Linked DNA regions of Sus scrofa. Each later gene encodes a partner of the first gene's protein in a complex. Links are inferred from orthologs where the notes say so. Each region holds a gene or a part of one and is shown on either strand. Other genes may lie near its edges.

The links.
Region 2: the proteins of PLOD3 (region 1) and COLGALT1 are in contact, whole or in part, in a cryo-EM structure (PDB 8ZGE), measured with the Homo sapiens proteins. The link is inferred for Sus scrofa from reciprocal best matches to the Homo sapiens genes PLOD3 and COLGALT1. Residues at the interface, in NP_001075.1 of Homo sapiens: Leu226, Val229, Val230, Leu231, Lys232, Phe233, Asp234, Arg235, Arg241, Gln261, Tyr264, Leu265, Pro275, Gly430, Ala431, Leu432, Arg440, Glu442, Glu446, Arg452; in NP_078932.2 of Homo sapiens: Ala36, Tyr37, Phe38, Pro39, Glu40, Glu41, Arg42, Trp43.

What each region holds. Positions count from the first base shown.
Region 1 is NC_010445.4:8,909,775-8,914,871, forward strand, and holds the end of PLOD3 (procollagen-lysine,2-oxoglutarate 5-dioxygenase 3), read right to left. Parts: coding exon 5,026-5,097; intron 4,726-5,025; coding exon 4,380-4,725; intron 4,201-4,379; coding exon 4,132-4,200; intron 3,665-4,131; coding exon 3,560-3,664; intron 3,046-3,559; coding exon 2,899-3,045; intron 2,676-2,898; coding exon 2,550-2,675; intron 2,445-2,549; coding exon 2,289-2,444; 3' UTR 2,013-2,288; downstream 1-2,012. UniProt on the Homo sapiens protein: Multifunctional enzyme that catalyzes a series of essential post-translational modifications on Lys residues in procollagen. Plays a redundant role in catalyzing the formation of hydroxylysine residues in -Xaa-Lys-Gly- sequences in collagens.
Region 2 is NC_010444.4:60,148,493-60,154,795, forward strand, and holds part of COLGALT1 (procollagen galactosyltransferase 1), read right to left. Parts: intron 4,157-6,303; coding exon 4,022-4,156; intron 3,119-4,021; coding exon 2,914-3,118; intron 691-2,913; coding exon 571-690; intron 1-570. UniProt on the Homo sapiens protein: Beta-galactosyltransferase that transfers beta-galactose to hydroxylysine residues of type I collagen. By acting on collagen glycosylation, facilitates the formation of collagen triple helix. Also involved in the biosynthesis of collagen type IV.

The DNA.
Region 1 (5,097 bases):
ATACCACAGAGGCAGTAATACCAGATCCTTTGACCCACTGTGCTGGCCAGGGATTAAACCTGTGTCCTGGCACAGAAGAGACACCACTGCCCATTGTGCCATAGCAGAAACTCCTTTTCTTAATATATATTTTGAGGGCTATGCCTGTGGCATGCGGAAGTTCCGGAGCCAGGGATCAAACCCAGTCATGGCAGCAACCCAAGCTGCTTCAGTGACACCACCAGATCCTTAACCTGCTGCACCACATGAGAACTCCTGATAACTGTGTGTTTTCTATGTCTGTGAGTCTGTTTCTGTTTTGTAAATTTAACTTCCTTTGTATCATCATTTAGATTCCACATATGAGTGATATCATGAGGCATTTTGTCTCCGGCTTACTTCACTTAGTACATTCATCTCTAGGTCCATCCACGTTGCTGCAAATGGCATTATTTCATTCTCTGTCATGGCTGAGCCATTGCATATCTAAGGAACAACGTTTCTTTAGGGAAATCAGATACACACTAGTCAGGAGCCTCTGTCACATTCTCTCCTGGCACAAAATACTTTCCCTCCATCAAAGTGACTTTCCTTCTTTTTTTCTTTCATTTATTTTGGCATTTCAGGGCCACACCTGTGGCAAATGGAGGTTCCCAGGCCAGGGGTTGAATTGGAGCTGTAGCCACTGGCCTACATCACAGCTCAGAGCAACACTGGATTCTTGACCTGCTGAGCGAGGCCAGGGATCGAACCTGCGCACTCATGGGTGCTCATGAGATTTGTTTCCACTGAGCCATCATGGGAACTCTGCAGCGGCTTTCTGATTAAGGTCTCCCCACGCTGTAAGCAACAGGTAGAGAATATTGTGGTCAGCACTGCAGCCCTTGTGATGGGTCCCCAGCACTTGGGTGATGCTCCATGAATGAACAGTGGGTCTGTGGGAGACAGGATAGGCCAGCTTCCAGTGCCCAGGACTTACCGCTCAAGGCTGGCACTCCCTTTCTGTCCCTGTCCCCTGTCTTGCATGCAGCTTCCCTGTCCAGGAAACTTTTGCCAAGAGGTATTTTCTCCTGTCCCTGCTCAGTCCATTTCCACCCACAGGACATGTGATGAGGGTGGCAGGGGGCCAGGGTGAGATAGACTTTGGAGTCTGGGCAGAGAGATGCTCAGTCCATGTGGAAAAGACCCACTCCACCCTCCCTGGCAGCCAGCACCACCCACTGGAAGGAAGGCTTCTTGGAGGACATTTTCCTGGGAGTCTGGGCAGGAGGAAGGAAGAAGGGGAATCTAGCTGGGGGTGCAGTGGGGTACCAGAGCCAGGAAATGTCCTAGGACAGGTGAGCAGACCTGTTTGTTTTTTAAAGGCTTCTGTAAGGGAACATGGGGAGATAAATTCAGGAAGGTGGCTGGTGTGAGGCTGGGAAAGACCAGGTTAAGGGGCCTGGTCTACTGTCAAGGCACTTCCAGGGGTCTCGGCAGGGGCTGATGGTCCCCTTGGGGTTGGAAGCAAGGCCAGCTCCAGGAGGTCTCCTCTTTTTCAAGGCTGCTTCCCATCCCTCTCTTCCAGGAAGCTTTCTTGGGTTAATCTTCCCGATTCCCTTCTGATCCAAAGCAGCTACCGTCAGGTTCCAGCCTGTCTTCCCTTATAGAACACCTGCCCCCAGGAGGGCCTTCCTTCCCTAGCACTGTCCCTGCAGCCCAGCTCAGGTCTGTGCCACCCCCAGCCTTCACACGAGGGAGAAGATGCCATCAGGAGAGGAGAGAATAGAAGAAGAGAGCTGAGGAGGTGGGTTTTCACCTGAGCCAGACAAGGGAGGCCCTTTTGGTCTGGCCCTCATGCTCAGGCGATGACAGGGAGTTAGATATGGGGTCGCAGGAAGCTTCCAGGCTCCCACTCTGCTTTGGCATCATGCTTCTGCCTTTTCGTCTTTTCTGTTCTTTTCCTTTGGAGTGACCCCGGTCTCCCCTTCACTCTGGGTGGCGGGAGGGACATGGGGTCCAGAGGTAGATCAAAGAATCAATGGACGCGAGAGTTACAAATCCTCCTTTATTGAGGGAGACTGAGAAACAATAACTTATTACATGGCGAACCCCTAGAAGCCCTCTCCCTGGGAATGCTTGGGGGCTGAGGAGCAGGGCAAGGGGGCTTCCTGAGCTTCCCGAGGGCCGAGGGCCGTGTGGTGGGGGCGGGGCAACACATTCAGTCCCAGACACACGGAACATGCGCCCGAGAGGCAGGGCACACCCCCTCCAAGGAGGGAGCGCGAGAAGGCACAATGGCAGGGAAGGTTGGGCAGAGTGGTTGAGTGTCAGGGGTCGACAAAGGACACCATGATATAGCGAGTGCCCCGTGTGGTGGGCAGCCCCTCATGGTAGTGGGTGAGACGGCCAGGGTGCAGGAGCCCCCAGCCCTTCCGTGGGGACGAGATCACACAGTCGTAGCGCAAGAAACGGCAGCCGCCTCCCTGGAGGATGAGAAGGGGACGGGGTGGAGTGTGAACAGGTGCGGGGACTGGGCGGCAGCCAGGCACCCTGGTGGCACCCTGAAGTGGAGCGTGGCAGGGACCCACCTCATAATCCAGGCCCTTGTGGTTGAGGGCAACGTTGAGGGTGAAGGTGGATGAGTCGTGATGGGGCCGCAGAGAGGGCTGCTCATCCGGCCGGTAGCGGACCACGAAGTTCATGACCGCCCGGGTCTGTGGGGACATGGGAGGAGAGGCTGGAGGTGGGGGTCCTGAGGTCTGGGGAGGGGGAGAGGTGGCAGGGGCTCTCATGCTACCCCCCCCCAGGGGGGCTGCCTTCCTGCAGGATTTCACTCCATGGGGTCCCAAATGCCTCAGGAACCCAAAAGGGTGCTGCATGGAGACGGCCAGCCGGGTTCTAGGAAGGTGGAGTCAGGGTAGCAGGTTCAGCGGTCACCTTGGTGTGGTAGCCTGGGAACAGGCTCTCGGTCATGGGCCCCACATATGTCCTCAGCAGCTGCAGCCACTGGTCCTCATAGCCCACCTGCTTCATGTGGATGTCTACGGTGGGCACATTCTCGTAGCCTCCAGCCAGCCTTGAATCCTGCGGGCAGTGGGCACTAAGCTGACAGGGCAGTGCCAGCTTCCTCATCTGCTCCCAGGCCTTAAAGCTTATGTTCCCTCCATCTGGAAGTCTTGACTCCTTAGCTTGACTCACTCCTGCTGGGCCTCTGAGTCTCAGGTAAGATGCCACCTCTTCTGTGAAGCCCCTTGGTCCCCCCATGTCTGGGGCATGGGCCCCTCCTGTGACTCCCACAGCACCTGGGCTGCCCAGCACAGCCTTTAGAAGCTGGGTCACTGCTGCTACTGACAGCAGGTGAGACCTAGGAGAGCAGGGCTCGACCCGTACAATTCATCAACGCACTGCACTGCCAAAGTCAGTGGCTGGCATCTAGGACCCACCTAGCATTTCTTGAATGAATGAATGAATACAGTTGTGCCCCTTCCACTTGGGGACCCCTTTCTGCTCCCACTCTCTAAATTTCATTTTCCTTTCACCAGCCCCAGCCTCTTCTTCCTCCCAGGGGCCCTCCTGCTCCCCTGCCCCAGCACCCCACCTCATGCCGGCCTCCTGACCACTGGCCGTAATGCTCCATTTCTTCCACCAGCTCATCACACATTTGCTCCGACAGCAGAGGGAACCAGTACACATCTGGGCAGGGCTGAGGACAGACGGGGCGGGGGAAGAACAGGGCAGGGTGACGCTCGGGGAGCGGATAGGCAGCCAGTGGAAGGGAGAAGAAGCAGGGAGCAGAAAGGGAAACCAGGCCATGAGAGAATGTGGAGGAATGGGGCTGGACCAGGAGAGGGTGGCCAGAGAAGGTGGGCCCAGTGCTGGAAACACTGCACAAATGGCACGGGAGTCCCAGGGCTCCCTGCCGGAAGCATCGTTTTCAAACTTGCTGTAAAAAAATGTCATTTCACCCATACATGAATATACCCATAGACAAGAGAGGACTGCTCTGATTAAAACCAGGGTGGGGGCTGCAGGCTTATTTGCTCAGCCTTTGCCCTCATCTTACCCGAGCTGAAGACCTAAGGCAGCTGGGAAGGCATCGGAGAAGCACTAACCCAGGCGGTGGACTCAAGGGGCAATGGCCAGCAGGGTCAGGGTCTGAGTGGGGCTCACCTGTTCCACGAGTCCCTCTCCTTCAAGGGCCCGGCTGTAGTTCTCGTGAATATACTGCTCTTTCCAGTCCTGGGGGAGCGAGAGGGGGCGCACCTTGACCACCTGTGCCCTCTTTACTCCCTCGGCGCCCCCAGGGAGCCCCTCTCCAGGCAGGAGGCCCCACACAGCGCACACATGTGTGGGCTGGGGATGGGGCGTCAGCCTTTGGCGAAGGGCACCTGCCTTCTGTGCCAGGGCTGCCTACTCACCAGGGGGTTGTCGAAGATCTGCCAGAGGTCGGGGTGCAGGTGGTCTGTGTCGTACCGGGAAGTGGCCAGGAGGCGGCCAAATTCGTGCCGATTGCTGAGGTGGAGGAAGATGCCCTGGGTGAGGGGGGAGGGTGTGAGAAGGGTGACAGAGATTGAGGGGGCTGCCTCCCAGCACCCCCGCATTGAGCCCCAGGTCCCGCTCACCTTGTCCCGCACGCTCTTGCAGAAGGCCATGTCCGGGTCAGTGTCGCTGCCCGAGAACACCTCCCTCTGGGGCAGCTCTGTCCTCAGGGTCTCCCCCCGGATCACGTAGGCCTGCGATATGTAGGGCACGTTCCACACGCCCCTGGAGGCCCCCACACCAGGGTCAGCCAGGTGGGTGGCCTCCCACAACCCCGCGCACAATCCCGGGAGCCCCTTCCCTTGGGAGCTGCGAGCTGTGAGGTCCCCCGCATGTCCCCCATCAAGCCCTGCTGACCGCAACCCCCTCAGGTCCCGCAGCATGGTCAGTCTCTTCCCCACAGCCCCAGCACGTCTTCCTGGTGGCCAGGTGGGATCCCCAAGACTAGGGCTTTGGGCCAGGATGTGGAGGTCTGTGCGGGCCCAGGTCAGAGGAGGGGCGGGCCGCAGCCCAGGCCGGACTCACACTCGCTTGCGCTGCACCAGCTCCACGTAGTCCTCTGAGCGCGCGTAGTACTCGTCAGGGCTCAGGGCTCCC
Region 2 (6,303 bases), on another chromosome or scaffold:
CCTCCCGACCTTTGCACATGCTTCGCCCTCCAACTGCAATCCTCTTTCCTGCTAACTCCTTCTCAGCCTGCAAGTTTTTTTTTCCTTTTCTTTTTACGGCCTCACCTGCAGCATATGGACTTTCCCAGGCTAGGGTTGAATATGAGTTACAGCTGCCAGCCTACGCCACATCCACATCAGATCCGAGCCACATCTGTGACCTACACTGCAACTTGCAGCAACGCTGGATCCTTAACCCACTGAGTGAGGCCAGGGATCGAACCTGCAGCCTCACAGAGACAACCACAGATGCCCCACCTGCTAAGCCACGATAGGAACTCCCACCCTGCATCTTAATGCCACCTTTACCAGAAAGCCCACTCTGATTTCCTCAAGTATGATGTGCACAGCTGTTTGCAAGCTGGTGCTCTGTGAGAGCAGGGACAACTGTCCACCTGTTCACCTCAGGTTCCCAGTGCCCAGTGAAGAGAGTGGCACGCGGCAGGCACTCAGTCAGTGTTACAGATAGATGCGAGATGGCGGGGAGAGGGAGGCGACTCAGCCCTCCCAGGGTGGCATGGCCAGACTCACCCATGACCTCCAGCTGCACGTGCATGAAGCTCTCAGCCTCGTCCTGGAGGCTGCTGTGTGACCGCAGTGGCACCGGCAGGAAGCCGTATACCTCCTTGTTGCAGACATACATCTGGACTTCTGTGGCCAAAAAGAAACAAGGAGCAGAAGTGAAAATGGAGCAATAAGGCAGCAGAGGTGTTAGCCTCTGAACAGCAGCATTAGTCCCAGAGCCCAGCACCGGGCTGGCGCGTAAACGGGTTCACCTCCTCCCAGCAACCGGCAGAGACTGCTCGGCGCTCCGTCTGGGACCTGGAGCCAGAACAGGGGTTCACGGTGCCAAGCACGTAGACCCAAAACTCTGAGTGTTAATAAGCACTTTGCACCAGTGCTGGCTTAACCCCTATAGGAGTCTAAGACAAAGCAAAGTGCAAAACAGCTGGTGTACAGTAAAGGCATTTTTGCACACAAAGGAGACGCAACTGGACCAACCATTAGTAATGTTACCTGTGTCCTTTTCTGAACAGTTTAAAATTTTGTTTGTTTGTGTCTTTTTGCCTTTTCTGGGGCCGCTCCCATGGCATACGGAGGGTCCCAGGCTAGGGGTCTAATCAGAGCTGTAGCCGCCGGCCTACACCAGAGCCACAGCAATGCCAGACCCGAGCCGGGTCTGCAACCTACACCACAGCTCACGGCCACGCCAGATCCTTAACCCACTGAGCAAGCCCAGGGATCGAACCCAAAACCTCGTGGTTCCTAGTCGGATTCGTTAACCACTGAGCCACGATGGGAACTCCAAAGTTTAAAATTTTATAATGAGGATGTTATCTCTTTTTTTAAGTGAAAAAAACCCACTGAAAGTGATTTTCACTAAAGGGCCAGATGGTAAATCTTTAGGCTTGTGGGCCAGTTCTGGTCTCAGTGACTCAGTTCTGCTTGTGGAACATGAAAGCCGCCAGAAGCAATACCTAATGGGTGTGGCTGAGTGCCGATGAAACTGCATTCATGGGCACGGAGATGTGAATTTCGTTATCATTTTTCAGATGTCACAAAATACCATGCTTCTTTTTGTCTTCTCCAGCCATTTAAAAACATAAAATACCATTCTGTGATGCTGTGATTTTTCATATATATATTTGGTCTTTGTCTGCAGTTCCTGGCTCACAGCTCCCCAAATCCTTGGAATTTCCTACATGGTAAGAGCTAAAAGGTGCTTCTCATGTCATGTTAGCAAGGTGACTTTTGGAACACACCTAAACCTGGGGGTTGGTTGCCAGGGGACCTGACTATGAGATTAGAGATTGGAAATTTCAGTCCCACCCCCAGGTGGGGAGAGGGCTGGAGGCAGAATCAGTCACTAAAGGGAAATGATTTAATCAACTGTACTGATGTCAGGAAGCTTCCATAAAAACCCCAAAGGACGAGGTTTGGAGAACTTCTGGGTCGGTGACCATGTGGAGGTGGTGAGAGGGGGACGGTGCACCCAGAGAGAGCATGGAAGCCCCCTTCCCGCACACCTTACCCTGTGCATCTCTCCCCTTGGGCTGTTCCTGAGTTTTATATCTTTTTATAAAAAACAGTAATCCCACAAGTAAATGGGTTTCCCAAGTTCTAAGAGCTGCTCTTGCAAATGAGCAGAACCCAAGAAAAGGGTCGAGGGAACCTCTGATTTATAGCCATTTGGTCGGAAGCACAGATGACAAGCTGGGTTTGTGACCAGCAGCTGAAGCTGAGTGGGAGGACAGTTTGTGGGGACTGAGCCTTTAACCTGTGGAATCTGATGCTACCTCCAGGCAGGGTCAGAATGAGTTTAAATGGCTCCCAGCATTGCTGGCTGGCGTGAGGAACCCCTACCTCTACGCATACACATAGGAATTTAGTATTGGGTCTAGGAACCCAAAAGACAGTCTTAGCTTGAGGCCATAGGAAAAGAGATGGTGGGTGAGATTTGGCCCATGGGCCATAGTTTGCTGACCCATGGTTTAAAATAAGTGATAGATCTGCATATGGCTGTGTTTATGCTGTCTTTATGTGTCATGGTTGTGTTTCTCTTTAAACTTTTTCCCCCTCTAATTATACAATTAGGGAATTATTACGCTCAGCTACAGATAATGGGAAAAATACTGAGACAGAAATAACCTTCAGTAAGTAGGTCCCAGAGACCTAGAAAGTGAAGCCATCCGGCAAAGCCAGGGCCAGAGAGAGAATGAACCCTGGGGCCATCATCTGAACACCTGGATACAGCTACACCTGAGGTCATCCCCACACCCTGCAGTTCTGGTTCTGTGAACAGTTCATGGACTCAGCACTGGTCGCAGAGAACCAGAGAGACAACTCGTGATGGCGAACCCCCCGTGAGCTCACCTGCCTGCTTGCAGGAGAAGGCAAAAACAATGATGTCATCGAAGGACCAGGTGTAGTCAGGGTGGGGAGGGTAGAACGCCAAGTTCCTGGATGCCGCCTTCCGCAGGTCGATCAGGAAGGTCGAGTGCACCATGGGGACTGCAAAGCAGCCCTGGCGGTCCCGCTTGCGGATGGGGATGTAGGCAGGCGTGCGCTTGTAGTAGCCCTGTGGGGAAGGGGCAGAGTTCTGTCTGGGGGTCCCCAAGGGTAAGGCTGGGGCCTGAGGCAATGGGAGGCATGGAACACTTGGAGAGTAAGACCGGGTGCCAGCTTCTGGCTGCAGTGGGCATTTCCTGAGCACAGGGCTCTGGGCAGAGCCAGTCAATCTACAACCCCAGAGCCTCAGGTGCTGGGCAATGGCAGAGAAACACAGGGAAAGGGTCACTCACTTGCAGAACCCAGCTCACCATTTCTGATCAGCAAGGATTTTGCACATTACACATCAATTCAAAACAAAAAGATAGGAGGGGACAAGATGGATCAGCATCCTGGCTCTAGCCACCTGATTCCCTTCCTTGGCAGGGCCCTGCTCCAGCACCTGGCCCTCACTCCCCTTGGCTTTGCCTACAACCCCATCTTCAACCCTGGGGTGGGACAATCAGAGCCTGGCATCTTCCAGGTTTCAGTAATTTCCAGAGTAGGAGGAGACTGGACAAGGATCAGAGTGGACTTTGGCTAAATGATCCTGGGATCACTCCCCAGGAGTCTGAAAATGAAACCACCCAAGGGACGGAGGAAGAGGAATACTGTTTGAACACCTGGATCAAGCCATGCCTGAAGTCCCATCCTGGTACCACCACTTCACAGCCATGTGAGCCGAGGCAAGTCACTTTCTCTCTCTGTGTTTGAGTTTCTGCCTCAGTGATAGGGGTAGTGGGGATTAGGAGGGAACAAGACATAACCACAGACCTTCCCTCAAGGGGCTCTTTAAGGATTACCACTATGGTGTTTATTAAATGTTCACCATGAGGCAGTGTAATGATAAGTTAGATTTCAAACCCAGCCTCCACTTGCTCAGCCCAGCCCCCATCACCCCCAGGCCCCTGCTCTACCCTAGCAGCCCCCTGACCTGGGAAGTCATCCCACACCAGAAGTTGGAGTACGCGGCCCGGGAATCCAGCATGGGGGCCACCACCGTCTTGTTCTCAGCAATGAGCAGGCTCAGCGTGTCAGGGTTGAGGATCAGGTTGTCTGCATCTACAAACTGCAAAACACCCAACATGGCATCAGCATCGGCTGCCCAAATGACCTGGCTAGGCCACGTCTTGGAACAGCTGGGGCAGAGGCTAGAGTCCTGGGGGTCTGGGGAACCTGGAATAACACATGTGATCCTGGAAGCCACCTGGCTTCTCAACGGACAGCTCTGCCTTTAGCTACCAGCCAAGTCAATTCACACAATGAAATATACTAAACAGCAAGGGACAGACCACACAGCATAAAGCAATACAAATGTCCCACAGACACAGTGCTGACGAGACACCAAAAGTGACAGTGGGTAGAACTTTTAAGATGGGCAGTGCTGGTTGATGAGGAGGATGGTGGGGCAGAGGCCACCCCTGCGAGAGTGGCCACACATTTTTTTCTGTTACTTAAATGCCAATAAAAAGTTCTAAAAATACGTTCTTTATATAAGGCTTTTCCCCCACCCCACCCTTAACCTCTGGAATGTTAGGGTAAAAAGATGATAACTTGTTTGCTGCAGCCTGGAACAAAATTCACCAACCCATGAACAGGGTCACCATAGTGAAGGGTGCCTGTTGGTCCCCCCTAAATCTTATGTCACCTACACCTTCCAGAAGGCCCACATCATGATATTCATGGCAGGGTTGTTCATCATACAAACTGAGAACAGCCCTGGAGTCTAGCAGTGGAGAATCAGCTACAGAAATTTTGGTCCTGTCTCCCTGTCCCACTGTAGAAAGAGGCATGACAATCAAAAATCAAGCCACCACAGGAGTTCCCACTGACATAATGTCCATGAGGATGCGGGTTTGATCCCTGGCTTTGTTCAGTGGGTTAAGGATGTGGTGTTGCTGCAAGCTGCAGCATAGGTCACAGATGTGGTTCAGATCTGGTGTGGCTGTGGCTGTGGTATAGGCTGGCAGCTGCAGCTCCAATCCGACCCCTAGCCTGGGAATTTCCATATGCTGCAGGTGCGGAGGAAGGAAAGAAGGAAGGAGAGAAGGGAGGGAGAGAGAGGGAGGGAGGGGGACCAAGCTACAGAAAATGATTAGGTAAGGATGTTCCTGTCCACCAGACCAGGATGGGAAAACAGTGAGGTTGGCTGTGCCTACAGCATGCAGAAATTCCCTGGCTAGGGATCGAACCCATACCATAGCAGTGACCCGAGCCACAGCAATGAAAATGCTAGATCCTTAACCTGCTGAGCCACCAGGGAACTCCAGGGCACAAAATATTACAGAACTATTGGAAGGTGGAGATTTTTTTTTTTTTAAAGCATCTGGGGGAGTTCCCGTCATGGCGCAGCAGAAACGAATCCAACTAGGAACCATGAGATTGTGGGTTCAATCCCTGGCCTCACTCAGTGGGTTAAGGATCTGGCGATGCCATGAGCTGTGATGTAGGTTGCAGACACGGCTTGGATCCTGCGTGGCTGTGGCTGTGGTGTAGGCTGGCAGCTGCAGCTCTGATTCAACTCCTAGCCTGGGAACCTCCATATACTGTGGGTGCAGCTCTAAGGAAAAAAAAATAATAATAATAAGGCATCTGGTTCACAAGTATGTTTTCTGTTTCCCATGCAGGGTTTTTAGAACATCTGAATCACCTGCCATAAACAACGGCAAAATCCACAACTGCAGCCTTCTCCAATAACATGGGAATGGCACTCCCATACGGCAAGCCCCAACTGGGAGGCAGGAGGTGGCTGCCCCTTGGGACAAGCTGTGCTCGTGTTATGTTCCCCGCCCAGCCCCTGCGGACATTTGAATTCGAGACTTTGGCATATATATGCAGTGAAACAGCCAGCACAGTCTGGCAGTTCCTCAAAAAGTTAAACATCAGCTTACAGCAATTCCATTCCTAGATTCAGGCCCAGAGAACTGGAAACTGGGACTCAGACATTTGCACACTGTTTATAGGAGCATTAGCCACAGAAGCTAGATTGTAGAAACATGCCAAGTGTCCTCAACAGATGAATGGATAGACAAAACGTCCATCCACACAACGGAATTTTCCTTTTTTATTTTATTCTATATAGTCTTTTTGCCTTTTTCTAGGGCCATACCCTTGGCATATGGAGGTTCCCAGGCTAGGGGTCGAATCAGAGCTGTAGCTGCCAGCCTACGCCAGAGCCACAGCAACACCAGATCCGAGCCGCGTCTGCAACCTACA